Callithrix jacchus: one gene and its partners. The main gene of each other region encodes a partner of the protein of the gene in region 3 in a complex. Links are inferred from orthologs where the notes say so. Each region holds a gene or a part of one and is shown on either strand. Other genes may lie near its edges. The genes, in order: RAC2, CYBB, CYBA and RAC1.

Region 1 (7,863 bases), on a different chromosome or scaffold from region 3:
GCACCTGGTAAAGTCTGATGGTCGACAGTGAGTGGGCGGGAATCCTCTTTCCCATTTTGTATGTAAGGACAGGTGCACAGAGGGGCACTCACCAGCATCAGGACTGAGCTGGGGCAAAGACGGCTTTCTAAGCTCTCTGCCTGGGTTTCCCTGCCCTCTCCTGGCTGCCTGCCTTCCTCCAGCCTGGGCCAGGATGTCTAAGGCAGCTGAGTAGAATGTCACGAGGAGAGAGATCAGCAGAGGGAACTCGGTCCACTCAAGTCTGGGGTGGGGGCTGGGTAGTGGGGGATCCTCTGGGGTGGGCTGGAAGCATCTCAGCTCCAGGGTCTCTTCTCCCTTCTGCCTGCCTCCTCTTCCTAGGAGAGCCTGATCCCTGCTCCTAAAAGGGGGTTTCATTAAGATCAAGAAATGAGGGCCCCAGCAAGGTTCTGTGTGGACCTTGGCTCTGAAGCCAGACAGGACCGTGTAAGCCTGGGAAGCAAGCCTCTTCGTGGCTATGAGGCTCAGCTTCCCCGTGGGTGTCCTGCGCATGCTAATGGCCATCTCCCAGGGGGATCCAATGAGATCACGTGTGCATGACATCTTGTGCAGGGCCCAGCACGAAGCAGGCCTTTGCTAGGTGGTGGCTATGATCGCTCTTCCTGCGGTCCCTCCCATGATGTTCCATTCAGGTCAACTCAAAACACATGTGTTGTGTGTAAGGCAAGGTGTGTATGATACCACATAGAAGGTTCTGTGCTAAGACAATGGGGAGACCCAGAAAGGACTGGCCGTGGCTCCCTGTCCCCCACAGGCTCATGATCATGGGAGAGATCAGATAAAGTCTCTCTGGGGAGGGGAGACCCCTTCACCATAGATCAGAAAGGCTTCCTGGAGGAGGGGGCACTGGAGCTGGGTATGGAGGCTTTAGGCAGGTGGATGTGGGGAGAAAAAGCACTACGGGGAGAGGAACAGCTTGAGCAAAGGCCCTGGGGTAGGAATGTGCAGGGAACTTGTGGTGAACAGTAGGGTCCAGGGGAGGCAGGGCCTGAAGCCAAGTAATGGGTGATGAGGCCAGGCAGGAGGTTGAGTGAAGGCCATCAGGGGCCTTGAGTGCCATGCTAGGGAGTCAAGGAAATGTCCTAGGAGTGACGTGGGCCCCTGAGGGCTGGCCGGAGAGGGGCTGGTGCCTCCCCAGTCATCCGTCCCTCCTGAGTCTGACGCCAATACACTCCCGCCATGTCCAATGACAGCCCTGCCTCCACGTCCTGCAATAGAGCGCAGGGCCTCTGAGGCCTGCAGATGCCTCTGTTCTGCCCCTCAGCATGCCACGGCCCCAGGTGTCCCTGCTCCCTGGGGCCAGACCCTCTGGATCACCTCCTCCTGGAGCCCAGCCTGCCTCCACAGAGGCTCCTCTCCCAGCCCCTGCTCCTGCCCAAGCCCGCCGTTTCCTCTACAGCGCTTTGCTTGGAGACCCAGCCTAAAGGCCACTGCCTCCTTCCTTCCTCCCTTTCCACCCCTTCCCCCCCCCCACCCCCAGCACTTCTTAGTGCCAGTGCTGCCTTCTTGGCTGGACCATCAGGCAGCTCTGCTCCACTGGAGGCTGTGGCTCTGGCACCCCATCGGGTGCCCACACAGGGTCTGGCCCACAGGAAGTGCCTGAAAGCGGGTCGACTTGGTGACGTTCTCTCCCCTCCTCCCAGCACCTGCGTGTCCCCAGGAACTCACACGGTGGGGATGTACTCTCCAGGGAAGGCGTTGGTGGTGTAGCTGATGAGAAGGCAGGTCTTGCCCACGGCCCTGAAAGACAGGAAGTGCAAGAGGGCGGCGATCATGGGCTCTGCTGGAGACATGGGGAGGTTTCTGCCCCATCCTCTGCGAAGACCTCAGCATCCACCCAGCCTAGCCCTCTGGGCCCTGTCTCCCTGTCTGAGACACCCCATGTCTGTGTTCTCACACCTGAGAGCCTGCAGGTCCTGTGCGTGTTTGTTAAAGTGGAGACTTCAGGGTCCAGCCCCAGAGATTCTGACCCACAGGTGTTCGCAGAGCTGGGAATCTGCATTTCCCACAGGTTTCTCCAGGGACCAGAGATGTCACACAGAGGGGGTACCCCACAAACTCAGGCCATGCCGAGGGGCCCCGACGCCTGGCCTGGGCTTCAAATCCCAGCTCAGTGGCATGACCCTGGACGAGTCACTTAACCTGCCTCTGCCTCAGTTTCTCCATCTAGAAAATCAGGATGAGCCCATCCCCATAGGAGTGTGCTGAGGAATAAATCCAACGATGCCTATCGAAGCACCTAGCACAGGGCCTGACGCACGGCAGCAGCCGGTGGCTGCTAGGGAAGGCCTGACCCAGCTCTTCCCTCTCACCTCCCCATGGAGCAGAGCAGTTACTAGACCAGGGTTTGAGTCAGAATGGGCTGGGTTCAAATCCTGTGAGGCTTTGGGCAAACTGCATAGCTTCCCTGAATTCATTTTCCCACCTGTAAAAACCTATTAGGTTTGGTGAGAGGACAAATAGAGAAGGCCGGGCTAACCCCAGAGCTGGTACCTAGGAAGGAAGGGATCGGTAATCGGAGAACGTCATTATTTGCGCACCTCCCCCACCCCCAGCATTTGAGACTGGGAGCAGGTGCAGGTAGCTCAGCCAAAGCCCGGAGACCAAGGGGCAGCTCTGGGCCTTCCCCTGCCCTGCTTGGTTCTGTCACTTCCTGCTCAGAGGAGACAGCTCATCCTCTCCTCTCTACCACAGTCCTCCCCGGGGCCTGTCCCGAGGTAACTTTGAATGACTGGGACGTTAACCCTTGACTTCCGCCTGCCCCTCTTCAGATCAGATAGAAAGCAGAAGTGAACAGGCCCGGGCCGGCGTGGGCAGATAAGCGGCCATGTATCAGAATCAGCTGAGGCTGGTGGGCAAACGGGCCCACCCCCACCTGGATGAGTCAGAGCCAAAGTGGGGGCCACAGGACCCAGGCCAGGACAGCTGAGTCTCTTACAGCCTTGGGCTGCTCCTCTGTAGCATGGGAGGGCTGGACAAGAGGCTCCTTCCAGCTAGAACATGCTGCGATGGACTTACAGAAAGCCCCAAGCTGGGCCTGTGGGTTGGACCCTAAGACATGGCTGCTGGCAGGCACGACAGATTGACAAACGGGACCTGTCCCTTTATTTTGTGTTTTTAAGAGACAGGTCTTGCTCTGTCACCCCGTGGCACAACTATAGCTCACTGCATCCTCAAACTCCTGGGCTCAGGCGATTCTCCCACCTTAGCTTCCCGATAGCTGGGACTACAGGCGCGTGCCACCACTCCTAGCTTTTAAAAATGTTTTTGTGGCCGGGCCTGGTGGCTCATGACTGTAATACCAGCACTTTGGGAGGCCAGGCAGGCAGATCACAAGGTCAGGAGTTCAAGACCAGCGCCTGAGCAACATGGTGAAACCCTGTCTCTACTAAAAATACAAAAGTTAGGGAGGTGTGGTGGCATACACCTGTAATCCCAGCTACTCAGAAGGCTGAGGCAGGAGAATCGCTTGAACCTGGGCAGCGGAGGCTACAGTAGCCAAGACTGCGCCACTGTACTCTAGCCTGAGTGACAGAGTGAGACCCCCCCCCCCCCGCCAAAAAGATAAAAAAAAGTTTCTGTAGACATGGGTTCTCATTGTGAATGCCTAGGCTGGTCTCAAGCAACTCTCCCCACTTGGCCTCTCAAAGCGCTAGGGCTAAAGGCATGAGCCACTGCACCTGGCCTAGACTCGTCATTTTACAGATGAGGAAACCGAGATTCCCCAGGAGACATGACAGCCTGGGGGTCACTGGGATCTGACAACTGAGAAGGTGTCAGCCCAGCCTGCCCCTCCCCTGCAGATCCCACAATCGCCCTCCCATCCTGCGGCCACCTCCTCCCTCTCCTCTCTGTCTCTCAACGTCCCCTTGCCCCTTCTGCTCCTCGCCCACATCCCCCACACATCCTCCCCAACCCAGCAGGCTGAGGGGAAGGGAGAGAGAGGGGGGGGTGGTACCAGCAGGGGGTGGTTATTGAGCACACATTACAAGCAAGACAGCCACTCAGCTTATGTCCAGCGACCCCACAGCATCCCTAGGGCATAGGCCTCCTCCTCCCAGATGGCTGAGGTTCAGAGACATGCTGTGACTTGCCCAAGGCCACACAGCAGCACCAAACCAGTGACGAGAGCCCAAGTCAGCCTGGGGACGAAGGCTGAATTTCTGGTTTCCCACTTCGCGGGTGCATCCACAGAGTTGAAGGCTGAGGCTCACCTCCGTGGGAGACCTGCCCCCAGCTTTGGGGGTGCAGGTAAGGGGCCTGGGCACTCCCAGCCATAGTCCTGCACCCTCCACCCAGATGGCTTCCAGGGTGGGTGGGCTGAAGAGGGTGAAGCTGTCCTCAGCCCACCCCGGGGTGCTAGCTGTGAGCCCTAGGAGAAGAATGAAGCGACTCCTCCAAGCTGCCTTCCAGGGACACCTAATTCTGCAGAGCCAGGGGCTTCCCCAGGGACACCAGGGCGGGAGGATCTCACAGCATCCCAGTTGGGGGCTGTGAGGAGGTCCAGCCAGGCACCTACCCATCTCCAACCACCACACACTTGATGGCTTGCATCGTGTCCGGGGCCTGGACAGTGTCAGTGGTGACAGCTCAGGGCCAGGCGCGTTTCTGCAGGCACAAGGGGTGTGGAGGCTGGCAAGGCGCCTGCTGAAGAGCAGCAGTGGTGGGGTGGGAGGAAGCGGAAGGGGAACTTACCCAAGCTGCTGCCCTCAAGGTCGTTTGCAGGGGGTGGAGCATTCGGTTTGGAGGAGCAGCTGGTGGGCGGGGCGCTCAGGTGCTGGCTGAGCCCTGGCCATCCCTGCAGCCCCCCACCTCCGGCCTCCCCTCTGTGGTAGGAGGCTCAATTTCTGACCACTGGGCAGGCCCAGAGGCTGTTCTCCAAGAACGTGAGGCTTCCAAGTACACCTCAGTTCTAAGCACAGCATTTAATGAGTGCCTACTGTGTGCCAGACATACTACCAGGTGCTAGTGATCCCAGGATACAAGAGACAGCTGGTCCCTGGAGTTTACACCCTTTGCAGAGGGGGAGGCAGGACTTCATCACGGGAGATTAGAAAGCAGGCAGGAAGTGACTGGGGCAATGGGGACTCTACAGAGAGGACCTCAGTGTTACCGAGAGGGAGAGCTGGGGGCCTGCAAGCAGCATTGGAGCTGGCTCTTGAAACATTTGCTCTAAAGAGGGTACTCCAGGTTCACGGAGATTTCTTGAGCCAGGACCCAGGGGCTCCGCCAGGGAAGGGCCTGTGTGGGAGGATGGGGAGTGATGAGGCAGGAAGGGAAGGTGTGGTCCACAGATGGAGAAAGGCATGTTGAGGGGAAGTGGCAGGCAGTGCCCTACAGGCACCAAGCCTGTCCTGAGGCCGCCCTGGGTCACCAGGCACTCTGGATCTAGGAACTGTGGCCCACTTCCCTGATGTGAAAACTGACGGTCTGAGAAGTCATTTGACCACCTAGCCTGAAACCACCCTGACGCTCAGTTTACTCCAAGCTCTTCTCCAACTGGAGCTCTTGGCTCCAGCTGCTGTTTGAGGGGACAAAGCCTGCATTCTCCAGCTCTCAGGGAACTCCCTTAGCCACGAGGGCTCTCCGAGGACACTCGGGAGAACATTCGATCACCCCTGTTGGCACCAAGTTCACTGATCGTCGTGATCACTCCCCAACCCCACGCCTTTCCAGGTCCAGGGGGAAGGGACAGAGGCAGGGAGAGGAAGAGCCACTGGTCATCCACCCTGGACCGTCCCTCAGGACAAGCCAGGAATCCCACAGGAGTGTGCAGAGGGCCAGGGCCCGCTGGCTGGCAGAGCCCAGGATTCTCAGCAGGCTCCTGGAGGCCGAGCCCTTTCAGAGCAGTTCACACAAGTTACTGCGTTCACAACACTGATTTTTACAGAGAGGAAAACACAACTTCCTAAAGCGCCTGCCCAGCACCGGGCAAGTCAACTGTGACACTTACCAGCAAACCAGTGTCTCTCCAACGCGCTTTGCATACGCTGTGCTGAGACCTTGGGTGGGAGACGCCAGGCGTTCCCTGTGGCCACCCTGGGGCTTCCTCCTTCACTGCCCCTTTATTTTTCCACCCACTGCTAGTCCCTAGGGCAACCTCCGTGTTAATTTAAAAAACAAAAGGATAACGTATTAAATGCAGTGCGGTACCCCAAATTAGAACCTGGAACAGATTTTGGGAGGCCGAGGAGGGTGGATCACAAGGTCAAGAGATCGAGACCATCCTGGTCAACATGGTAAAACCCCATGTCTATTAAAAAAATACAAAAAATTAGCTGGGCATGGTGGCGCGTGCCTGTAGTCCCAGCTACTCAGGAGGCTGAGGCAGGAGAATTGCCTGAACCCAGGAGGTGGAGGTTGCGGTGAGCCGAGATCGCGCCATTGCCCTCCAGCCTGGGCAACAAGAGAGAAACTCGGTCTTGAAAAAAAAAAAAAAGAACCTGGAACAGAGAAAGAACATTCGTGGAGCTTCCATGAGACAGGAAGAGTAAGTTCTGGTGTTCTGCCACACAGTGGGGTGAATAGAGCAAATCACAACGTCGCGAATATTTCGAGAGAGCTGGGAGAGAAGGTTTCAGATGTTGTTGCAGCAGAGAAATGATACATGTTGAAAGTGATGGACGTGGGAATTACCCGGATTTGATCATTATATGGCTATGCATGCATCGAAACATCACATCGTACCCCATAAACATGTACAATTATGTGTCAATTACAAATAAAAAATTTTTTTAAAGAATTCATTTCTAGTTCTTGAAGCTCACTACCACCTCTGCCTCCCAGGTTCAAGCAATTCTTCTGCCTCAGCCTTGAAAGTAGCTGCGATTACAGGCATGCGCCACCACGCCCGGCTAATTTTGTATTTTTAGTAGAGACAGGGTTTCTCCATGTTGGTTAGGCTGGTCTTGAACTCCCGACCTCAAGTGATCTGCCCGCCTTGGCCCTCTCAAAGTGCTGAGATTACAGGCGTAGGCAACCATGCCCAGTCAGCAACTTCTTAAATCAATTTAAACAATTAAACTGGCTTTAGATCAGGTGTGGTGGCTCACGCCTGTAATCCCAACACTTTGGAAGGCTGAGACGAGTGGATCACAAGGACAAGAGATGGAGACCATCCTGGTCAACATGGTGAAACCCCGTCTCTACTAAAAAATACAAAAATTAGCTGGGCATGGTGGCACACGCCTGTAGTCTGAGCTACTTGGGAGGCTGAGGCAGGAGAATTGCTTGAACCCAGGAGGCGGAGGTTGCAGTGAGCTGAGATCACGCCATTGCACTCCAGCCTGGGTAACAAAAGTGAAACTCCGTCTAAAAGAAAAAAAATAATATATATATATGAGGCGGGGTACAGTGGCTCACGCCTGTAATCCCAGCACTTTGGGAGGCCGAGGCAGGCAGATCACCTGAGGTTGGGAGTTCCAGACCAGTCTAATCAACATGGAGAAACCCTGTCTCTACTGAAAATACAAAATTATCCGGGCATGGTGGCACATGCCTGTAATCCCAGCTACTCGGGAGGCCAAGGCAGGAGAATTGCTTGAACCTGGGAGGCAGAGGTTGTGGTGAGCCGAGATTGTGCCATTGTGCTCCAGCCTGGACAACAAGAGCAAAACTCCATCTCAAAAAAAAAAAAAAAAATCTATATGGAAGTATAATTTGCATACAATAAGTTTTATCCATTTAAAGCATATAGTTCCATTCGTTTTGACAGATATATGCATCCACAAAACCTCCCAGGATACAGAGCATCATAGAGCATTTCCATCACCTTGAAAAGCATCCTTGCACCCCAGCATAGCCCACCTCTCCCTCGGTTTCTCC
Region 2 (7,333 bases), on a different chromosome or scaffold from region 3:
GCTACAACTGAGGGCAATTCCCTGTGACAGACACAGCTGCTGAAGGAACTGCTTTGTTGGTCCTAAAGCAGAGATCTAGATGGGCCAATGTAGCTCAGTTTTTTTTATCCATATGGACACTAAAAAGGCAAGTATTTAGGAAAAATGTCATTTCCAGACATATGCTTTATTCTACAGGTGGTCACTCATCCTTTCAAAACCATCGAGCTGCAGATGAAGAAGAAGGGGTTCAAGATGGAAGTGGGACAATACATTTTTGTCAAGTGCCCCAAGGTGTCCAAGCTGGAGTGGCACCCTTTCACACTGACCTCTGCCCCCGAAGAAGACTTCTTTAGTATCCATATCCGCATTGTTGGGGACTGGACAGAGGGGCTGTTCAATGCTTGTGGCTGTGATAAGCAGGAGTTTCAAGATGCTTGGAAACTACCTAAGTGAGTAAAAACTACACATTACCAATGCGTATGAGTTCAGGAAAAATGGCACTAAATAGCTCCTTTTCTTCCATGTTTTACTAAGTCTCCAACAAAACACACAGGTTCTAAGAATATAGGTAACTATTTCTGTGGTCGCTATTTCATATGCGTTTATGCATATTTTTATAAATCTTATGTGAACTGTGAAACTTTTGAATCAAATATTAGAAATAAATGCCCGCAAACTCCTTTAAATATGTAAGGGTCAAAGCCAAGTTATATTAACTTTCCTAACAAATAAAATTACAGTATATCAAAAATATTCTTAAATTTTAGTTGGCATAATTTATTTGAGGTTAAATGCCATATATTAGCCCCCTTGCCTCCTTTTCCCTGCATGCCTAACAATGGTATCAGGTACTTAGTAGATGATAAAGAAAGGTTTGAGAGTTTGTTGAATAACTGAATGAATAGACAAATGAAAAGTGGAGACATTAAATCTACAAAATGTTATGATATGGCAAATTCTCACTTCAATGTGCAGCACGTGCAGAAGTTTCGAGTGGGATGTCCTGGCAAGAGATAGGGTGTGTGTGGAGGGGGGTTTGTTGTGTGTGAAGTGGGGTGGGGAGATAAAAAAATACTTATGCTGAGTTACCAAATGTTTTTGGTTACCCAAATATTTTTCTTCTTACTTCCAAACCCAACATTGGCACTAAGGTTTGTTACTTGAAAGGTATTTCGTAGAAAGAAGCACCTAATAGATACATTGTTCCAATATGAATTAACATATTTCACATCCCCAATAATCATAGGTGTCCCAGCTCACTCTGAAGAACAAGACATCTCTGTAACTGTCTCCTCCCCATTTCTCTTCAGGATAGCTGTTGATGGGCCCTTTGGCACTGCCAGTGAAGATGTGTTCAGCTATGAGGTGGTGATGTTAGTGGGAGCAGGGATTGGGGTCACACCCTTCGCATCCATTCTCAAGTCAGTCTGGTATAAATATTGCAATAACGCCACCAATCTGAAGCTCAAAAAGGTAAGTCCTTTCATTTATTGGAAGGCCTGAAGCAGTCACCACACTCTGCCATGTGAAGCCTGAAAGTGCTTTCAGGGCTGAGGTTGACAGAGACCATGGGATGTGAAGAAAAGCTTCCAGTGGTTCCGGAGAGACAGACCTTTCTTCAAAAGACTAAGTCCAATGTGCTTCTAGAAAAGCAGGCCTATTAGTGATGGGAAAACATTGTATCTGTATAGTGATGCTGGAAGTTCAGAAGAAAGAAAGATGGGAAAGTGTTCACAGCTCCAATTTAATAGCTATCATTTTTGTATATCCTCTTCTAATATTTTCACGTTTACATATTTTTAGAAAGTTTTGTATATTGAGCATGTATAATTTCATGTCCTGCTTTTTAAAAACATATTATAGGAAGTGTTTTTCAATGTCTTCACAGGCTTTATAATGATGATTTTAAATGATCCCTTCATGTTCCACTGAGAGGATATTGAATAATTTTTCTTTCATCTTGTGTTGGATGTTGAGATTGATTCTATTTCTAGCCCCCCTCCCCCTGTCACCAATACTTTTTATGCAAAGGGAGGAGAGGAGACCTGAAATTTCTACTTATGAATATCTCCTCAGGATCAATTCACAGGGGATTTTTTGGTTACCTATAAATTTGGTTTTATTGTGGAATAAAGGGCATCCCAAATAAACCTCAGGCCATTCTAATAACTGAAAAGATAAACTCTAATAGGGACATTAAGCCTACTTTGACTTTTCATTCTCTTTGTACCTCTTTTCCATGTGGGAGGGGATGTGCGTACAACCTTATTTGTCACCTAGAAACTCATGAATGTCTGGCAATAGCAGGCAGGGAAGAATTTCTGTGGCAGTCCCTGCTAGTCTAAATCCCATCAGACTTTCTGAGAAGAGGTTCAAAGGAAGCCAGACTTTCTGAGAAGAGGTTCAAAGGAAGAGCAGACCCAGAGGGAAACTTGGTGGGCTAATAGTTTTTCCTTAAGCTATATATTTCTGAGGTCAAGTCAGTTATTTACTGCCCTGCTAGCCATGAAGACCAGAGCAGGTTCATGTAAACTAGCCTGTGAAATGTTCAGAACCTCCTGAGAATCTATGTTTCTAGGCATTCTGAGCAACAGGAAAAAGTTTAAGGAACAGAAAGTAGAAATCACATTTTAACGCTGATAGGGCCTACCAAATATAATCTGCTTCATGATCCACCGCATTTTCAGATCTACTTCTACTGGCTGTGCCGGGACACACATGCCTTTGAGTGGTTTGCAGACCTGCTGCAGCTGCTGGAGAGCCAGATGCAGGAAAGTAACAATGCTGGCTTCCTCAGCTACAACATCTACCTCACTGGCTGGGATGAGTCTCAGGTAAGGACAAGACTCCAACGCTCAGGTCCTTCCCATAGTGTACAGGACTTACGGACTTCCCCTTGGTTATTGGTGTGTCTTGTGTACTATTATTTTTCTAAGTACACTTAGTGGATTTAGTGATCAAGTCCATTCACTCTCATTCGGTATCCCCACATTATATTTAGACTGTTCAGACTAGATTCAAAGTCAAGGAGCCTGTAAGGGAATAAATGCCCTTGACATTATTAGGGCAATTCTCCCACCAGGCACTCTGAAACCAGGTGGATGAGATGATGCATTGGGTTATGGGAGGGAAATTTAACTTTCTCTCCCTGTCTGTGTGTGTGTGTGTGTGTGTGTGTGTGTGTAAAACAGACACTCTCCAACTTACAGTGGTTCAACTTATGATTTTTAAACTTTACAGCGAAGTGGAAGCAATATGCATTCAGTAGAAGCCATACTTCAGTATTTATTCAATAAATTACATGAGATTTTAAACCTTTTATTATAAATAGGCTTTGTGTTAGATGATTTTGTGCAATTGTAGGATAGTGTAAGTGTTCTGAGCACCTTTAAGGTAGTCTAGGCTAAACTATGATGTTTATTAAGTTAGGTGTATTAAATCCATTTTAAACTTATGGTATTTTCAATTTAATGATGGTTTTATTAGGATATAACCCCATTGTAAGCTGAGGAGCATCTGTATGTATAACATGCATAAGTATATAAAGGATTCTGTATATACATATATATTTTATTATGTATTTATATATGTATCACATACACTTATATGCATATATGTATTTATAAAATCATTTAATTTACATGTTTTTGCATGTTTTACAATATACTTACTACATGTATAATTATTATGCATGTATATTGCCAGGTATTATTCTTATATATCTATTTACATAGACTGTATAATTTTATCCTCTTACCAACACTATGAAGTTGCTCCTATTATTATCCACATTTTACAGATGAAGAAACTCAGGCCAGGTTAGGTCATTTTCCTAAGAGCACCCAACAAATAAGTGACAGAGACAGAATGTACCAGAGCCTGCACTCTCAGCATCTCCCAGTAGTTCATGATTATCATTTGTAAATAAATTAATATATATCTAATGAAGGTGATATATATGCATGTATGTGTGTGTATGTGTATGTGTGTGTACAATGAGAGTGGTCTTTCAAAAATGTTTGGAGACCACTATAATAAAGCAAGCCAGTAGTTCTTAACTGGGACAATTTTGCTCTGTTCCCCCAGCCCAGACATACACCAGAGACAGTTGGCAATGTAAATATCCTACAATTAACAAGACAGCCCCCTACAACAAAGAATTGTACAGTTCCAAGTATCAAAAGTTCTGAGATTGACAAACCCTGAAACAAGTCAATGATTCCTGGAGGGGTAACATCTTTGTTAATAAGGAAACATTAATGACTTGGCCTGGAAACAGCATAAGCTGTCACCATGAATGAGAAGCTAAGGCAAGAGTCTCTGCATGTGTCTTTCCAGTGTCTTAGCTGGTATCTTAGTCCATTTGTGCTGCTATAACAAAACACCCGAGACTGGATAATTTATAAAGAAAATAAATTTATTTTCTCAAAGTTCTGGAGGCTGTCAAGTTCAAGATCAAGACACCAACATGTTTGGTTGTCTAGGAAAGGCTGCATCTTCTGGGTGGGAGAAATACAGTGTTTTTACATGGTGGCAAGAAAAAGGGCAGGCTCGTCAAATACCGTGTGACGACTGTATTCCAAAGCCCTTAAACTCATTCATAAGGGATGATCCTTCATGTCTTAATCACCTTTTTAAGGCTCCACTTCTTAATGCTATCACATTGGCAACTGAATTTTGGAGAGGACACATTCAGACTACAGCAGCTGGGTATTCACAGACACTGGTTCTGCAAGCCTGGGCATTTTCCATGTGGACCCTGTCACTGTGAAGACTGGATTCCCATTTGGGTTTTGACATATTATTTATCACAGATTCTCCAAGTCTTAAAGGACTCTTGTAGCAAATATGAATTAGGGAAACATAACCATAAAAATTGTTGCTCCAGAAAAAAAGTGGTTTCAAAATGTCACTTCTGCAGTTTAAAAACACAACAAAAACACTTTGATAAAAATAAAACTCAGGAAAACAATCTATAGTATATAAGTTGCTTTACTGTTTTGTTATTTAAAAAGCCAGGCACAGGTGTTTTTTTAAACTCAGTAATTTATTGGTATTGAAAAAGTAATTGTTAGCTTTGCAAAACTTGTCTATAGAATTATTAAATCAGAGTGCCCACCTTTCTTAACCTCCTCTATGCCCATTATCCATCTAGTGAATTTAAAATTTGATTTACTTTTTAAAAATAAATTTAACCACTTTTATGAAAAATACCTGTTGTTCAAACTGAAGCCTCATAGATTGTAGCAGAAAAATAGCATGTGAACACACACACACACAAACACACACACACACACACACACACACACACGCTTTAGGCTTGATTCGATGTCTCACTATGCAACCAAAGTATTGCTGCATTTTAGTCTAAAATTGTTACATCTTCTAGTAATTCTCCCAAAGGAGTTTAAGTATATTACAGTAAAGTGCAAAAGTCAAACATAGAGCACAGAGAAAAACAATGAGACACTACTCATTCATCAATGCTTGACTCAAATCCTGTGGCCCTAAACCTTCCCCTGTTCTTCCACTGCACCTTCCTTCTTTGTTCTCGTTAGGATACTTGTGCCTCTTTCATGACTCTCATCACACCCTGTTCGACATATGGGACTATTTATATTTGTACTTCAAATCTCCCCTTCTAGATTGTAAATTGCTTGAGAGAGATCCAGTTTGTTCATCTTTGTTTACCTTCTAACATCCAGCAGGGTGCCTTGGTTAGAATAGTTTGTGAATTATGTAAATACATTGTATGTGATTTTACAGCACGTCTTTTTCTGAATTCATGTCCTTTCCTGCAGGCCAATCACTTTGCTGTGCACCATGATGAGGAGAAAGATGTGATCACAGGCCTGAAACAAAAGACTTTGTATGGACGGCCCAACTGGGATAACGAATTCAAGACAATTGCAAGTCAACACCCTAAGTAAGGAGTCTGTCACCAAGATGTTTTTTAGGCTTGTGTCTGCCTAAAGCAGCAGCTCAGATACATATTGAAAATTGTATATTTTAGAAACTCAGATACATATATTACTATATAAAGGTTGAATTCATGTCCAACAGTACATCCCAGGTATCTTCAACTTTAAGAAGGAATATTTAAATTTTATAAACAATACCTGGAGAGTTATTTTTAAAAAATTTCCCGGGTCCCCATCTCAGACTTTCTGAACCTGCTTGTCCCAAGTAGGGGCACAGCTTCGTTCTTTTCTTTAGTCTACTAAATTTCAATAGTGGAACTACTTCTTTTAAAGATTCGATATAATTTACACTTATTGTTAAGAAGACACTGTCTCCACTTTTAGTTATAACTTCTGGGTCTAAAATCTTAAGGTGACAGATGTCTCAAGGTGTTTTCTGCTCTCACTAAAACTTTAGTCATTATAAAACCTTGAGGGGGATCCCTTATCTTGCTAGAACACCTGAGAAACTCAAGCGCTCACCATACATGTACCCTTTAGACTATTGCTTTTTGCACTGTAATAAGCATACAAAGCACCTGGGGATCTCTTTAAAATGCAGATACTGATTTAGAAAATTTGGGGTAGGGCCAGGTAATCCACATTGTTTTAAAAGTTTGTGGCAAGGCTACTGATCAGAAACTACACTTTGAACAAGGCTTTAGACTCTAAAATTTAGAGAAATGAAGCCACACCAAGTAGTCAGCATAGTTGGCTTGTTCCTAATTTCAAGATGCCAGGGAGAGTTTAGGGGGCACAGAGCCCTGAGGGAAAGTAGCCGAAAGACTCATGAATTCACCCCCATTTTCTCTGTGATAAAAGTTCCAAAATTTCTATTGGTCAGACTTTATTTTTCCAGGGAAGTCAACTACCTTTTGAACTATCCAGCTGCTCACACAAACAGGCTGAACCACACTCCCTCTGAGCAATGTGAACTCTTTGCTATTTGTGGAAAAGACAAAGGAGCAGAGGGGACTCTGCCCTGGGGCCACAGATTGACAGGAAATTCCCCTACCTGCTTTGTAGACATCTCATCCCAAAGCTTGAAATTGTCTTTTTTTTTTCTCTCTCTCTCTCTCCCTAAAGTACCAGAATAGGAGTTTTCCTTTGTGGACCTGAAGCCTTGGCTGAAACTCTCAGTAAACAGAGCATCTCCAACTCTGAGTCTGGCCCTCGGGGAGTGCATTTCATTTTCAACAAGGAAAACTTCTAACTCGTCTCTTCCATGAGGAAATAAATGTGGGTTGCGCTGCCAAATGCTCAAATAATGCTAATTGATAATATAAATATCCCTTGCTTAGAAATGGAGAAAAAGAAACTGTAATGTAATGGTTTTCCCTTAAAGGAATGTCAAAGATTGTTTGATAGTGATAAGTTACATTTATATGGAG
Region 3 (7,859 bases):
AGGGCTGGGCTGGGGGTGGCCGGAGCCGACCTCAGAGAGCACTACTCACCAGCAGGTAGATGCCACTGGCAATGGCCAGGCAGGCGGTCCCGAGGATGGTAGCCAGCAGGAAGCCGGCAGGCACCGACAGCCTGGGGGGGAGGGACACAGAAGGGCACTCAGAAAAGGGAACGGAGCCCCAGGTATGGGGGCCAAGGCCATGAGGTCTCAGGACAAGACAGACCACAGACCAAGGGGACATGTGGAGCCAGGGGCTTGTTTGGGTCCTAAGTGTTCTCAGCCTTGATGGGGACATGAGCAGCTCTGCACACTTGGAAGGAAGCCCCCGCAGCTGTAGGGCAGCCACACGCAGGTGTCCCGGCCTTGGCCGGCAGCGACCACCAGACACACAGCGTGGGAACTTCCACGCTACCAGGAAGCCCAGGCAAGACCCCCCAGCAGGGCCTGTGGGCCCAGTCCACTCTGCTGTGATCGGAGCTGCTCAGGTCTGGGGAGGATCCTTAGGAATCCCACACACTGGACAGCAGATACAGGCTCCAGGGGCCCTGACACACCTGGGGACCCGAATTTTGGTTTAGAAAAATGTCCAGGTAAGTGGCAGTGGCTCCAGGCCAGGCAGCCCGGCAGGTGGGACAGTGCTCCAAGCCGTCCTGAGCCCCAGAGGGGGTGGGGTGGGGTGGGGCGGGACTCACAGGAGGTGCAGGATGGCCCGAATGTAGTAATTCCTGGTGAGGGGCCCGAACAGCTTCACCACGGCGGTCATGTACTTCTGCCCACTGTGGGAGGGAGGAAGGGGGACAGTGAGGTGGGCCTCTCCCACTCCGGACCGCTCCAGGGCACCCGGGCCTCTTTCCTCCCAGGCAACATGCCAGGCAGGCACGGGCCTGGGTTTGCCCACAAGGACCGAATGGTTGGTTCCAGAGCCTCCGAGCGAGGAACCAGACTCCACATACCAGACCCTGTGGGCCCTGCTTGGGCCCCACAGCCCTGGGACAGACCCCAGAGCATGCAGGAGGTGACTCACCAGCGCTCCATGGTGGAACCCTTCTTCCTCTTTCCGCGGGGGTACTCCAGCAGGCAGACAAACACGCCCGCCACACTGAAGCCATGTGGTTAAGGAACAGCCCAGTTCAGCCTGAGGGGCCACACGGTGAGCCCTCTTTACTAAGACAGCATGAAGAGGGGCCGGGCATGGCGGCTCACGCTTGGAATCCCAGCACTGTGGGAGGCTGAGGCGGGAGGATTACTAGAGCCCAGGGGTTTGAGACCAGCCTGGGCAACATAGTGAGGCCCTCATCTCTACAAAACATTTAAAAATTAGCCAGGTGCGGTGTCATGCGCCTGTGGTCCCAGACACTCCAGAGGCGGAGGTGAGAGGATTGCTTGAGCCCAGGTGGAGGCTGCTATGCGTCATGATGGCACCGATGCACTCTAGCCTAGGGGACAGAGCGAGACCCTGTCTCAAAAAAAAGTGGGGTGAGGCAGCCACTGCCTGAGGTCACAGGGCAGGAAACAGCCACAGGAGGTGCACCTGAGGCTGGCCCACACCTGCCCTCATACCACCCTGCCCATTGCTCCTTGTTGGGAGGTCTGGTAGGGCAGCAGGGCTGAGATGGGGCAGAGGAGGTGGAGGGGCTGGCCAAGGTGGATGACTAATGGGGATCCCAGCAGTCCTAGGGAGGCCCCAGTGCTGGCCCTGGCCCTGGCCCTCAGGGGACACCACCTGCCCACCCCTCGCTAGGACTCAGGCTGGCAGGTCTGCCACTGACCACCACATGGCCCAGGCTAGGGGCCTGGGCTGCCCAACCCCTGGACAGCCCGCCCTGTCTTCCAGCCTGGCTGCAGTGCTGGGGAGCGGAAGCAAAGTGCTCCCTGTGAAGTGGCTCCCAGGCTCTGCCCTGGGCATTCCCTGCCCACCCCCGCCTCAGGTGGAAGGATACATGGAGTAGGCTCCAAAGTACCACTGGGTGAAGTGCCCGGCAGTGGCCACAATGCCCCCGGTGATGAGGACTGCGGGGAGAAGTGGGTCAGGCACTGAGTGGCTCCCATCCTGGAGGCCTGGGCCACCCCCTTTCTCTACCATGGGCCACCAGGCCACCAAGAACTGTCTTCTGCAGTCCATGTGTTTGTCCCTACGGATCCCCACAGCACAGTGACAGAGTCGGGGACACCCCAGGAGGCAGCCCCCTGCGCTGGTGAAGAGCAGAGCTGGTGGCGCATGGCCTGGCGGAGTGGAGTGTGTGACGTGCCTGGGCTCCGAGGCCCAGGAGCGGCCAAGGGACGGCCTGACCTGCAGGCACCAGTGGGCCTGTGCTCCTGGGCTCTGGGACCCCCGAATGGACATACTTGTCACCGTGTCTTTGTTTGATGCATGAAAGCCTATATGCCCAGTGTGGTTTCTGCATCTGGGAGTGTCCCTGGCGCAGAGCTTCTCCAAACCCGGCAGCTGTCGGTCTTACTTTTGGTTCCGACTGATGGGGCCATTTCTGCCCCTTTCTTTTGCTTATTTTCTGATACTCCCTCTTACTGGTTTCTTTTTGGGGGGGGGACAGAGTCTCCCTCTGTCACCCAGGCTGGAGTTCAGTGGCTCTCCTAATCGCAACTCACTGCAACCTCCTGGGTTCCAGCAGTTCTCCTGCCTCAGCCTCCCAGGAGCTGGGACTACAGGCGTGCACCATCATGCCTGGATAATTTTTGTATTTTTAGCAGAAACGGGGTTTCACCACATTGGCCAGGCTAGTCTTGAACTCCTGACCTCAGGTGATCCACCTGCCTTGGCCTCCCAAAGTGCGGGGATTACAGGCGTGAGCCATGGTGCCTGGCCCTGCTTACTGTTTTCTAGACAGGATCTTGCTGTTACCCAGACTGCAGTGCAGTGGCACAAACACAGCTCATTGTGCCACAGTCACAGTCACAACCCGCTGGGCTAAAGCAGTCCTCCCACCTCAGCCTCCCGAAGTGCTGGGATTACAGGTGTGGCCGCCTCACCCTGCCAGCATTGCTCTTGTCACCCCTTGTTCTTCCCTGAAGATTTCCTATCCGTGGTTTGAGCTCAGCTACACATTAACTCCCTGACCTTGCCCATCTGCCTTGGAGGAAGGCAGGGCAGTGTCCTTCAGTCCACTCAGCCTGTCATCCGTGCATCTTTGGGGAAGTGTCCCAGTCCTGAGCCTGCCCTCCGAAAGAGGGTGCAAGGCTGCTGCTGGTGCCACCAGGGAGGCCTGAGGACATACTGTGGCACCCAGCCACACTTATAGAGCACCTGCTGTGTACAGGGACTCTGTCAAGGGCCCCACTCTCTCAGGGCCAGCTGCCTCCTGGGGCTCCACGTTCTGGAGACCTCCCCAAGCAGGTGGCATTTGAGAAAGAAATGGGACAGCCATGAGGCTCTGCAGAGGCAGCAGCTTGTGCCAAGGCCCTGGGCATGCTTAGAACATACAGAACAGAAAGGAAGCCCCGGCAGCTGGAGGAGGGGGTGGGGAGGCTGGGGTGGGCAGATCAGGGCAAATGTGCAGCAGGGTGGGATGTTGGACTGGGCTGGGCAGGGCGGTCACCCGGTGGTTTCCGTGCCTTGTGAAATCCCAGGCGACTCCAGATGAGGAGGGCTGAGCCCCACAGCATGAGGAGCCCACCTTCCCACCCCAAGCCCAGGGGGGCCTGATCCCCAGCCCAGCTGGCTACCGAAGGGAGGGGAGCTTCTCCCGATGTCCAGGCCAGAGCCCCCACTCAGGGGCCTGGGGGGGGGGCGGCGGCGATCACCCCGGAAACCACCGGGGCTGAACCGCCTCTTTCCCTGCGCTGCAACTTCCTCCTTCGCGGAGTCGGGGACTGAGGGAAGCGAATGGGGGAGGAGGCGCCGCTCCGCTGGGTCTGCAAGCGGACTGTTCGGGGTCTCGGAACTCCTCCTTCCAGCCCCCGTTCCCCGCACCCTCCGGGCCTGATCCCATCACAGCCCAGCCGCCTGGTGCCCCACTTCCCCGCCCGGTAAGTAGTCTGAGGTCCCCGGCTGGGGTCTCGGGACACCCCCAGGCTGCAGCCTCCACCGCCCCTGCCGCGCACTCACTCAGGCCGGACGCCAGCGCCTGCTCGTTGGCCCACATGGCCCACTCGATCTGCCCCATGGCTGCGCAGACCCGGCTGGGACACTGCTAGGCGCGCACTGCCGCCCCTGCGCTCCCGGCCCAGTCCCGCCCCGCCCCGCCCCGGCCCCGCCCCCAGCCCCCCAGGTGACCGCGGGTGGGCGGAGACCCGCCTCTAGGGTGCGGGGCTGTCCCGGAGCCTTCTGCCCTCGCCCTCTCCAGACGCGACCGAGGCTCAGGAGGGGCTCAGCGTGGCAGCCCCAGGCCAGGCGGGGCGTCTGCGTTTCCCAGCTTCTGCTCTCCCGCACTGACTAGTGCCCCTGCCCAGCGCAGGACTTCCAAAGTACCACTGTGTCCTTGTTGTCCTGTGTCAACAAGCCTTCTAGGAACAGCAGAGAAAGGTGTGAAGGGTCAGCTTCCTGAGCAGATCCGCCTCTCCCGAGCCTTGGGGGTTGGGGGCCACCCCTACAGCTCAGGACACCTCTGCACCCTGATGCTACAGGGGCCAAGGGTGGCCTCCCCGTGGCAGCCTGAGGCCCTGCCCCCATTTCTTCACCCTGACTCTAGGCTGGCACAGGCGTGGCCTGAGTCTGACACTGTGGGCCTCCCCTCGCCATCACTGCACTGTGACTGTGACTCAGGGGGAGGGGACAGGGACAGCTGCCCTGTCATGTCCAGCCTGCGGATGGGAGGCAAGGGTTGGTGTAAGGGTGAGGAGAGGGCAGCAGAGGTGATAAGTGGGAGGTGGGCCCAGTGCCCATGGGAAGACTTTAGGGGCGGCCTGAGGCACTGTGGGGTTTCAGGGGAGCCTCCCATGCCTCTACCTGGCTCCCCAGGCCCTCACAGGGCACACCTGGACTCCCTGCAAGTCCCAGGCCACTCTGAGCAGGAGCCCAGGAATGCTGGTTTAGGAAACAGGAAAACAGGAGGACCTCACTGAATCTAAACAACAAAAGAAGGAAAACAGCAGGAGACAGAGGCCGCAATGCCACTTTATTCCCACGGCCACGAGGGCCATGCTGCTGCCCACTCCTGCCACCATTCCCGTAACACCTGGGCCTGGGGGTCTCATCGGAGACACTTGGTGGCTTCCTGAGGCCCAAGGTGGCTGCTGCAGCACAGCGACCCCTTCCCTGGCCCTGAGGGATGCCAACTTCCTGCCGAACTCCCGTCTTGGAGCAGTGGGAACGGCCGGAGCGCGGTGAGAAAGCCCTTCAGCCCTGCCGCACCTGGCTCTGCCAGCTTTCATGCCCCAACCCCATCCATCCTGGCGAAGTGCTGGTGTAGCTGAGGCACTCGGTGGGGGCCTCTCCTGACATCCGGCAGCCGCAGGTCTCCCCGCACTGCCCCATAGCACGCTGCCCATGGGCCCGAAGCCAGGCCACCACACACAAGTCCCAGCGGTCCAGCCAGTCCACCACACCCGCTTTCTAGCTCTGGTGAGGACACCCCTTCTCCAGGTGGCGTGCAGTCCTGCGGAGGCGGTCAGGCAGCTGGCTTCGGCAGGCCATCAGGACCCAGGAGGTGGGTGTAGGGGTCATCCAGGATTTGAGGCCCCGGCCCCACCTGGAGGTAGAGATCCATGTCAGGTCACCAGCAATGGCAGCACACTGCCCTGTGCCCCAGCATGTGTAGGGGCTGGACACAGGAGAGCAGCAGTGGGTCCTGGTCAGAAGCTATGCCACCCAAGTGACACCCACACCCAGCTCCTGCAGGCACAGATGCCCCTGCCAGCTGGGGGCCCTCTGCCTGGGGCACTGCCTGTCACTGGGTAGACAGAGGACCACAGTGCCTGGAAGCACACAGCCCTGTGCCCGCGGCCCTTGAGAGGAAGTTGAAGGCAATGGCTCGGGCGGGTGTGATCGCTGACAAGGGCTTGGCCCCCTGAGCAGGTCAGAAGCAGGAGTCCTGGTCTACTGGGCCAGTTGGGGTGGGGGGAGCCCCAGCAGCACCCATCCCAGGCACTCCCCTCCTGTCTCCCTGGGAGCCTGCATCAGACTCATCCTTCCACCCCAGCCTGGCCCAGTCCTGCTGCTCTGGCCTCGCTAGTGGCCTGCAGCCTCCTGTTTGAGAGCAAATGAATGAAATGCAAGTGCCAAAGGCATTCTGGCCTGAAACACGGTAGGGACAGGGAGCAGGGCTGAGCCTGGGCGGGCCCCTCTGGCAGGAAAGGAAACCCCACAGGGTACTGGGCCTCACCTGAGTGGCGATGATGTACTTGACCCCACCAGGAGTCGGCTCCATGGCCAGCGCAGCCTTAAGTTCAGCGGGGAGAGAGGCTGGCCTCACCTGCAGCCCCCTCAGAAACCTGGAAAAGCAGGGCAGGGGCATGGTACACATGTGCATTTCTCTAAGCGTCTAGGACAGGCAAGGCCAGAGACAGGAAGGTATTCCTAGCTGGCAGGGCCCAGGGAGGGGAGATGGCAGGTGGCTGCTATGGAGACAGGGATGGAAAAGTGAAGGAGGTGGCTTCACAACCCTGTGAATGTCTCCACCCATGGGATGCGGGATCCTATGCTCTCGAGACGGAGTCTCACTCCGTTGCCCAGGCTGGAGTGCAGTGGCATGACCTTGGCTCACTGCAACCTCTACCTCCCAAGTTCAAGCAATTCTCCTGCCTCAGCTTCTGGAGAAGCTAGGACTATAGGTGCCCACCACCTTGTCCAGTTAATTTTTGAATTTTTTGTAGAGATGGAGTTTCACCATATGGGCCAGGCTGGTCTTGAACTCCTGACCTCAGGTGATCCACCTGCCTCAGCCTCCCAAAGTGCTGGAATCATAGGTGTCAGTCACCACGCCTGGCTGGAGACAGTAAGTTTGAGGTTATGTGGTAAACAGCTATGTCCAGGCTGGGGCTGCTCTGAAGGGACCTTCAAGAGGCCTGGGCCCGTGTCTGACCAAGGCTGCTGCCCAGCCCCCTGGGGTCACAGCTTAGGGAAGTGCCCAGTTCGAGCTTGTGCATTTGTCACGGTGTTCCATGGAACAGCGAAAGCCTGCACACCCCACCCGGAGCAGGGGCACGGGCCTGGCACTGCCCAGGAAGGCAGTCCTACGGTGTGGGTCTCAGTCCGTCGTCTCACAGGGCAGGCCCCCAATCAATGGAAGTCAATATTGCCTCCACCCAGGGCAGACACACATCCCCCACACGCCTGCAGACCCCCTTCGGCAGGAGGCGCCCCTCACACTGAGAATGAGACCGTGACAGCCACGGGACGAAGAAACTGCCCGTGGCCTAAGGAGTCAGGGCCGAGCTACAAACTGAGGAGGGCGTACATGGGGGCTCCGTGGGGCCAGAAGGCAGCTGCTGGACCCTGCCCCAGAAAGAACACCCAACTGCAGGGAAGCGACAACACTGGCTGCCTGGACTGGCTCTGACTCATTTCAGTGAGGAGGAAGTCGGAGGCTTTGAACCCTTTCCTTCCAAATGTCAGACACGTGTACGTGCTCCTGGGAATGCAGGCATGTTTCCCAAGAAGCCACTCTTCTATGGACTAGAGGCCTGCAGGCTCCCGAGCTGTAGGGGACACCGTCTCTCAGGAGGTGGAGACCCTGGGTGTCACGTCGCTCACACACACGTGTGTGGCTTCGCTTTTTTCCTTGTGGACGTGGGCTGTGGGATGGCTCCATGGGGACACACTGTGTAGATCCCACATTTGGGGGGATGGACACTAGCCATGGGACGCCCAGTCAGCGTCACAACCTTCAGCTGCCTCCGTCCCCTCGGGAAGGATGTTCTGGGCACCATCTCCCAAAAAGGAGGAGGGGAGGGTCCACACTCAC
Region 4 (7,122 bases), on a different chromosome or scaffold from region 3:
CCAAAAGTACTGTAAAACCGTTGTTTTCAAAGATGCAGGGGCTCAAAAATAAGAGCAATGCCTTACTTAACAATGGGTATACATTCTGAGAAACACATGGGTGATTTCACTGTGTTAACGTCAGAGCGGACTTCCACAAATCTAGACCATACAGCCTACCGCACACCTAGTCTCTCGGGTAGGGCCTGCTCACTGCTCCTGGGCTAGGAGGCTGCACAGTCTGTTACTATACTGAATACAGTGGACAGTTGTAACAGTGGTATTTGCTATCTATACACAGCAAAGGTACAGTAAAAAGGTATAATCTCATACACTACCAAATATGCGCTACATTGTTGACTGAAATGTCATGTGGTACGTGACTGTACGTACTTCCAACACACTCTCAAGGAGCTCTTGGAGAAGCCATTCAGGATGAAGGAAATGAAGACCAGTGCCTAAGAGAGGTGCAGGTCAGATGACTTCAGGAAAATGGATATTGGTAAAATGACAACACATCTGAACATCTTGAGAGGTTTAGACAATAGATGAAAATTCACAGTTGAGGACAGGCACAGTGGCTCATACCTGTAATCCCAGCACTTTGGGAGGCTGAGGTGGAAGAATGGCTTGAGGCCAGGAGTTCAAGGCCAACCTAGGCAACATAGGGAGATCCCTGACTCTACTAAAAGTTTTAAAAATTAGCCGGACATGGTTGCACACACCTGTGGTCCCAGCTACTCAGGAAGCTAAGGCAAGAGGATCACGAGCCCAGGAGCTGTGATGGCACCACTGCACTCCAGCCTGGGTGACAGAGCAAGACCCTGCCTCAAAAAAAAAAAAAAAAAATTCACAATTGAATTCCATACACAGAAAAGCAAGCAAAGCACTGATTATCCCAAAGGAAACCAGAAGTTATTCAGGAAATTGTTTTTTCTGCTACTGAGCATGGCCAGTGAGCAGTTTACATAGCAGAGACCGTGCAGGCACTAAACTGAGTCCATCGAAACCATCATACTGAGGAATGAGCAGCGTTTTGGGCAGAGAGTTGCAACTGGAAAAGCAAGCCTCACATCTTCTGTAGTGGGAATGTTGATGAGAATGCTGAACTCAGAAGTTTCACTTACACAAAAAGCCTAATTCAGACACGGGCAGGTAAAATACCAAAAATTAGGTAAGCTAACAAAGTATTCCTTCTAGAGAAGGTATGAAGGGGAAAGACTTTTCTTTAAAAACCACTAAAACTTTTTTAAACTGCATATTGCCAGGTATGGTGGCTCACACCTGTAGTGCCGGCACTTTGGGAGGTCGAGGCAGGCAGACTGCTTGAGCTCAAGAATTTGAGACCAGCCTGGCCAACATGGCGAAACCCTACAAAAAATAAAAAGAAAATAGCTGGGGAGGGGGGCGGTGTGTACCTGTGGTCCCAGCTACTTCAGAAGCTGAAGTAGGATAGCAGGAACACAGGGGGCAGAGGTTGCAGCAAGCCAAGGCTGTGCCACTGTACTCCAGCCTTGGTAACAGAGCCAGACCCTCTCAAAAAATAAAAACTGCAGCCGGGCATGGTGGTTCACGCCTGTAATACCAGGACTTTGGGAGACCACGGCAGGCGGATCACCTGAGGTCAGGAGTTTGAGACCAGCCTGGTCATCATAGTGAAACCCCCTCTCTACTAAAATTACAAAAACTGGTGTGTAGTGTGTGCCTGTTAATCCCAGCTACTTGGGAGGCTGAGGCAGAATTGCTTGAACCTGGGAGGCAGAGGTTGCATTGAGCCAAGATTGCACCATTGCTCTCCAGCCTAGGGGACAAGAGCAAGACTTTTGTCTCAAAAAAACAAAAACTACATTATTTATCTCAGTTTAAAAAATACTCAAAAACAATCTTCAAAGCAATAAAAAGGAATACTAAGAAAACTAATTTTAACATAAACCTTTGTATAGTGCAAGTTAAGCCTTTTTTTTTTTTTTTTTTTTTTGGTAGAGAGAGGTCTCTCTTGTCCAGGCTGGTCTAGAACTCCCAGGTTCAAGTGCTCCTCCTGCCTCAGCCTCCCAAAGCGCTGGGCTTTCAGGCATAAGCCACCCATCCAGCCTCTGGAAAGGACCTTGAGGGTGTGTGGTTCACCATCCTCTACTCTTCCAGGGCCAGTCTGGGGTCCCAACATCTGCATCTTCAAGCTCCAAGCTCTGGGCCAGGATGTGCGCTCACACCCCGACGTGGGTTTCTTCATCAGAGCGTCACCGCTGTTCAAAAGGTCCAAACATGAACGTCACCTCCATGCCTGCTCTATTAACTGGGCTCACCCAGTTCTCCCCGAGATGGCACTCCCTCTGTCCCTCCTGTGTGGAGACACACATTGAAAATGACTGTCTCCAACAACCCAGGACTTAAAAGTGAGGCAAACAACATACACCAGGAACTTGTTCAAGTCTGAAAAACGCCAGTATTACCAGTCTTGTATGATTCAAGGATTTATTAAGTCATACATGCAAAACATAGTGCTAACTGCATTAGCAAAAGATCAATGTAAAAACACTCCACAATTCTGCAACTGTCAATTTAAAAAATGTTGTAGTGGTTGAAAGGTCCAACGTTGTATTCTTGCCAGTGAGTTAAGTTGTACAGAACATCGTCAGCACTAGCACAGTTTACAGAACCTCACAGACCCAAAGGAACATCATTAGGCAAAGCAACTACAGGAGGCGTGTGTCCGCATGGGCGAGGTCAAGAGGGTCAGTATTGGTCAAGTGACAGTGTCGGTAATCCGGCAAGACAGTGATGTTAAGAAGGTTCATAGTTTAAGAATTATCTAAAATATTTTAAAAACTATAAAGCTGCAACACATGATTTTTACACCTAGTTACTAAAAAACTAAGGAAAGCACTTATTAGCTCTGAATAAAGTAACATGGAAAGCACTTTTACTAATCTACAAAAAAAAACTAATGCATTATCAGAAAGATTTTATAATACAAGGAGGCATATTGCTCAGTAAGAAGGGGTTCTATAAGAAAAGCACTTACTAAGTTAGCGACTAAGGGAATGACCAGTTTAAAGATGAATTAAATGCCCAATTTGGGGAGGGATGGCAGGTGCAAGAGAAAGGAAAAGCTTAAGAAAACACTTCCTGATAATACCAACCTTTCTTTCATCATCTACTGCATTTGACAGAAATTAACCTTTTAGAGTTTTTACCCGTGACACTTTTATTCCTTGTACAGTGTAGTGTAACTCTCCACTTCGTATTTTGTCAAAATACCGTCATCGTCCTTTGATCACACACACCCCACCCGGCACACCCACAACTAAACAGAATACTTCATTAGAGGAAACACATGAGTTCTGTTCAAAATCTCAGCAAAAGCTGATCAACTAATTTTTAGAAAACTCACTATGAAATCAAAAAGACTGATCCAAAGAGCTGAGCTGTTTACACCCATTCCATCACAGTACAATGTTAGGTCGTGAACATGGGCTGATATATCACTGGTGAGTTTAATGGCAACGCTTCATTTGGGAGGCTGTTCTGCTTTACGCATCTGGAAACTACTTAGAAAGTGTCTGCATCTCCTAACTGCAGAAGCTACGGTCTTCTGAAAGACGAAGGTCTTACACAGTTTAGTGCTCAGTGTTCTTAGCACAACAATGCAGTACAGTTCAGAAGGTATTTTGGCAACTCTTAATCTGAGCAAGAATAGGGGCTTTTGAAAAATAAGGCTTTAAGAAGGCTTGTCATTTTAGGGCTAAATTTTAATAGAATGTGAGTCTGAACTCTTACATTTAGAACAAACAAAACCTTAAAATTACTGATTGGTTCAAAATGGTTTTATGGAAAAATTAATCTGTAACAAAAAGTTGGCATTGAGTGCGAAGGCTCCACCGTTTTTTTGAGCAAAGCGTACAAAGGTTCCAAGGGACAGGGCCAAGAAGAAGGGACTCGGACATTTACAGCAGCAGGCATTTCCTCTTCCTCTTCTTCACGGGAGGTGGGCAGAGGACTGCTCGAATCGCTTCGTCGAACACTGTCTTGAGGCCTCGCTGTGTGAGCGCCGAGCACTCCAGGTATTTTACAGCACCTACAAGAAACACGGCCACATACAATGTACACCACTCTCTTCTGATCACAACACCGCCGGGAGGCAGCTCCTGGGGCCTGGGCACCTTCTGCCGGCTCCCAGCCCTGCCTCCATCTTCCAACGCTGACATGAAGACCCAGAGGGCCTTGCCAACTTGTTCCCAAGAGTAAGCCGGGCCCCGAATAGGAGACACTCCCTCCTTTCCCAGACTGGACTCCAGTCAGTCACTAAAAGAGGTACAAGGCAGAGGAAAAAACGCAGGATTCCATACCAATCTCCTTAGCCATGGCTAGACCCTGCGGATAGGTGATGGGAGTCAGCTTCTTCTCCTTCAGTTTCTCGATCGTGTCTTTATCATCCCTAAGATCAAGTTTAGTTCCCACTAGGATGATGGGAGTGTTGGGACAGTGGTGCCGCACCTCAGGATACCACTAGATGTGAAGAAGGAACAGAGGTTGTGAGGCGCTCCTTTACAGACGTCCTTCACCTAAATCACATCCAGCAGGCAGCACGCACGCTAGACACCTAACTTCAGGCACTGCCGCCCCACCAGCCTTCATGCAGTTCACACCTTCAGCCCAACCCTCGAGCCGTAAGGAGCATCTCAGGTGTTCCATTAGCAAGCCAGGACTTCCAGATCATGATGATCAGGACGGGACAGAATGGGCTCTACAACCATGGAAGGGGGTGGGGAGAAGAGGACAAAGGGAAGGAAGTTCCTCCCAAAGCAAATAATTTTGTCTTTGGTAAAACAAGTTCTTAGGGTCATCTGAGAAAATTCATCATCTGTTCAGAAATGAGAACAAACTACCTAGCCCCAGGCCTCAGCTCTGCTGCCATTATCCCCACTGAAAACGTCCCTACTAAAGGGCCTCTGTTGCTTGTCATTTTTACTAAGAAGTTTGTGAAAGAGACTGGAGTAGAAAGAAATGGTTATTATTTTTATTAGAACAATTCTGAGTGCTTCATTATTTTAATGAGGCCCAGGAAACTTCTGAACCAGAAGCTGAAGCTTTAAAAATCCACGAATTAGGCCGGGTATAGTGGCTCACACCTGAAATCTCAGCACTTTGGGAGTGTGAGGCAGGTGGATCACTTGAGGCCAGGAGTTCAAGATCAGCCTGGCCAACATGGTGAAACCCCATATCTACTAAAAGCACAAAAATTAGCCAGGTGTGGTGGTAAGCACCTGTAATCCCAGCTTCTCGGGAGGCTGAGGCAGGAGAATCGCTTGAACTGGGAGGCAGAGGTTGCAGTGAGCCAAGGCTGCACCATTGCACTCCAAGCCTGGGTGACAGTGCAAGACTCTGTCTCAAAAATAAATAAATAAATAAATAAAATGAACTGCTGATGAGCCAGGCACGGTGGCTTATACCTGTAATCCCAGCATTCTGGGAGGCTGAAGCTGAAGGATCATTTCAGCCCAAGAGTTTGAGACCAGCCAGGGTCTACAAAACCAGCTCTACAAAATTTTTTCAAGATTACCCAGGCATGGTGGTGCACATTTGTGGTCCCAGCTACTCGGGAGGCTGAGGCAGGAGAACTGTTTGAGCCCAGGTGTTCGAGGTTACAGTGAGCTCTGATGTCACCACCACACTCCAGCCTGGACAACAAAGTAAGACGTCCATCTCAAAAAACAAACCAACCCAATTATGTACCTAAGTAGCAAACTGCTAAAATCCAATTTAACTGAAAATTCCTAGCAGTAAATGGTATTTTGAAGTATTTCTTTCTGAGAGGATCATTCTATAACTTACATACATACTTTATATCCCCACCTACCTTTGCACGGACATTTTCAAATGATGCAGGACTCACAAGGGAAAAGCAAATTAAGAACACATCCTACAAAAAGGAAACACAGGGAAACATTTAGACAATGACCTTAGAACAAAGCATGCACTTTGTGTTCTAGATGTTGCTGGGAAGCACTTGTCAGGCAGAGAGCGTGTCTACTATACTAGGTATAGGCGGCTTGGTCAGACGCTCCCTGATCCACCCAATCCACCCTTTCAGTTTGTCAGAGGCTCCCAAACCAACCCAGCATGTCAAGCCACCAGTTACTTATGAAAATGGGGAGTGTGAAGGGAGAATGACATGGGAAGTTCTTCGAGGATAGGGAGGATCAGACCAGACCCCTGGGATGTTTCCTTTCTGCCTATCTAAACAGAAAAAAAATCAAGTATGAAGGTATGCCAACATTTCTGTAAAATCTGCTCTCCTGTTTCCCAAAAGCAGAGTTAATTTTAAAAACAGGATCTGCTGGGCATGGTGGCTCATGCCTGTGATCCCAGCACTTTGGGAGGCCAAGGTGAGTGGATCACAAAGTCAGGCGTTCAAGACCAGCCTGGCCAAGAGGGCAAAACCCTGTCTCTAAATACAAAAATTAGCCAGGCACGGTGGCAGGCACGTGTAATCCCAGCTACTTGGGAGGTTGAGGCAGGAGAATCACTTGAACCCGGGAGGCAGAAGTTGCAGTGAACCGAGATCAAGCCACTGCACTCCAGCCCGTGAGACAGAGCAAAACTCCATCTCCGTGAGACAGAGCAAAACTCCATCTCAAAAAAATAAAATTAGGCTGGGCGCGGTGGCTCAAGCCTGTAATCCCAGCACTTTGGGAGGCCAAGGCACATGGATCACGAGGTCAACATGGTGAAACCCCGTCTCTACTAAAGATACAAAAAATTAGCTGGGCATGGTGGCGCATGCCTGTAATCCCAGCTACTCAGGAGGCTGAGGCGGGAGAATTGCCTGCACCCAGGAGGCGGAGGTTGTGGTGAGCCGAGATTGAGCGCCATTGCACTCCAGCCTGGGTAACAAGAGCGAAACTCCGTCTCAAAAAAAATAAATAAAATAAAATAAAATTTTAAAATAATAATAATAATACAGAATCTACAAAAAAAATCAGGCTCCCCACTGGCATGTCAAGTACAAATGTTTTTAGGTGGTCAATGGTTCAATTCAACTCCTTTGGGAGGTGGCCTGTCACAGTTTCCAGCACCAAGTGGAGGCTCTAATATTTGCTACTCGGGTCCTTCCCTCCACAAGGAAGGAGAGCTTAGTGTGTA

Evidence for each region.
Region 1: CYBA (region 3) and RAC2 share a complex: the UniProt entries of both Homo sapiens proteins name them as parts of the phagocyte NADPH oxidase complex. The link is inferred for Callithrix jacchus from reciprocal best matches to the Homo sapiens genes CYBA and RAC2.
Region 2: the proteins of CYBA (region 3) and CYBB are in contact, whole or in part, in a cryo-EM structure (PDB 8X2L), measured with the Homo sapiens proteins. The link is inferred for Callithrix jacchus from reciprocal best matches to the Homo sapiens genes CYBA and CYBB. Residues at the interface, in NP_000092.2 of Homo sapiens: Gln3, Ile4, Glu5, Trp6, Met8, Trp9, Glu12, Gln13, Ala16, Ile20, Thr23, Val27, Gly31, Phe33, Thr34, Gln35, Arg56, Arg59, Met65, Gly102, Phe103, Leu104, Leu105, Ala106, Ile108, Leu109, Ala112, Cys113, Ile116; in NP_000388.2 of Homo sapiens: Thr116, Ile117, Leu120, Phe121, Val123, Glu124, Asn128, Asn133, Lys161, Asn162, Pro163, Gly166, Leu167, Ala170, Val180, Thr183, Leu184, Ile187, Leu188, Thr191, Ser192, Thr194, Lys195, Thr196, Ile197, Arg199, Ser200, Tyr201, Glu203, Val204.
Region 4: CYBA (region 3) and RAC1 share a complex: the UniProt entries of both Homo sapiens proteins name them as parts of the phagocyte NADPH oxidase complex. The link is inferred for Callithrix jacchus from reciprocal best matches to the Homo sapiens genes CYBA and RAC1.

Annotation. Positions count from the first base shown.
Region 1 is NC_133502.1:208,153,447-208,161,309, forward strand, and holds the start of RAC2 (ras-related C3 botulinum toxin substrate 2), read right to left. Parts: upstream 4,705-7,863; 5' UTR 4,594-4,704; coding exon 4,559-4,593; intron 1,780-4,558; coding exon 1,708-1,779; intron 1-1,707. UniProt on the Homo sapiens protein: Plasma membrane-associated small GTPase which cycles between an active GTP-bound and inactive GDP-bound state.
Region 2 is NC_133524.1:38,589,607-38,596,939, forward strand, and holds part of CYBB (NADPH oxidase 2), read left to right. Parts: intron 1-177; coding exon 178-431; intron 432-1,292; coding exon 1,293-1,455; intron 1,456-2,669; coding exon 2,670-2,816; intron 2,817-5,783; coding exon 5,784-5,908; intron 5,909-7,028; coding exon 7,029-7,155; 3' UTR 7,156-7,333. UniProt on the Homo sapiens protein: Catalytic subunit of the phagocyte NADPH oxidase complex that mediates the transfer of electrons from cytosolic NADPH to O2 to produce the superoxide anion (O2(-)).
Region 3 is NC_133521.1:46,305,993-46,313,851, forward strand, and holds the start of CYBA (cytochrome b-245 light chain), read right to left. Parts: upstream 4,162-7,859; 5' UTR 4,122-4,161; coding exon 4,064-4,121; intron 2,011-4,063; coding exon 1,941-2,010; intron 1,100-1,940; coding exon 1,025-1,099; intron 777-1,024; coding exon 693-776; intron 132-692; coding exon 50-131; intron 1-49. Other genes in the region: MVD (diphosphomevalonate decarboxylase), read right to left, coding at 5,565-5,645, 6,279-6,387. UniProt on the Homo sapiens protein: Subunit of NADPH oxidase complexes that is required for the NADPH oxidase activity that generates, in various cell types, superoxide from molecular oxygen utilizing NADPH as an electron donor.
Region 4 is NC_133503.1:16,136,698-16,143,819, reverse strand, and holds the end of RAC1 (ras-related C3 botulinum toxin substrate 1), read right to left. Parts: intron 5,900-7,122; coding exon 5,837-5,899; intron 4,486-5,836; coding exon 4,326-4,485; intron 4,055-4,325; coding exon 3,924-4,054; 3' UTR 2,438-3,923; downstream 1-2,437. UniProt on the Homo sapiens protein: Plasma membrane-associated small GTPase which cycles between active GTP-bound and inactive GDP-bound states.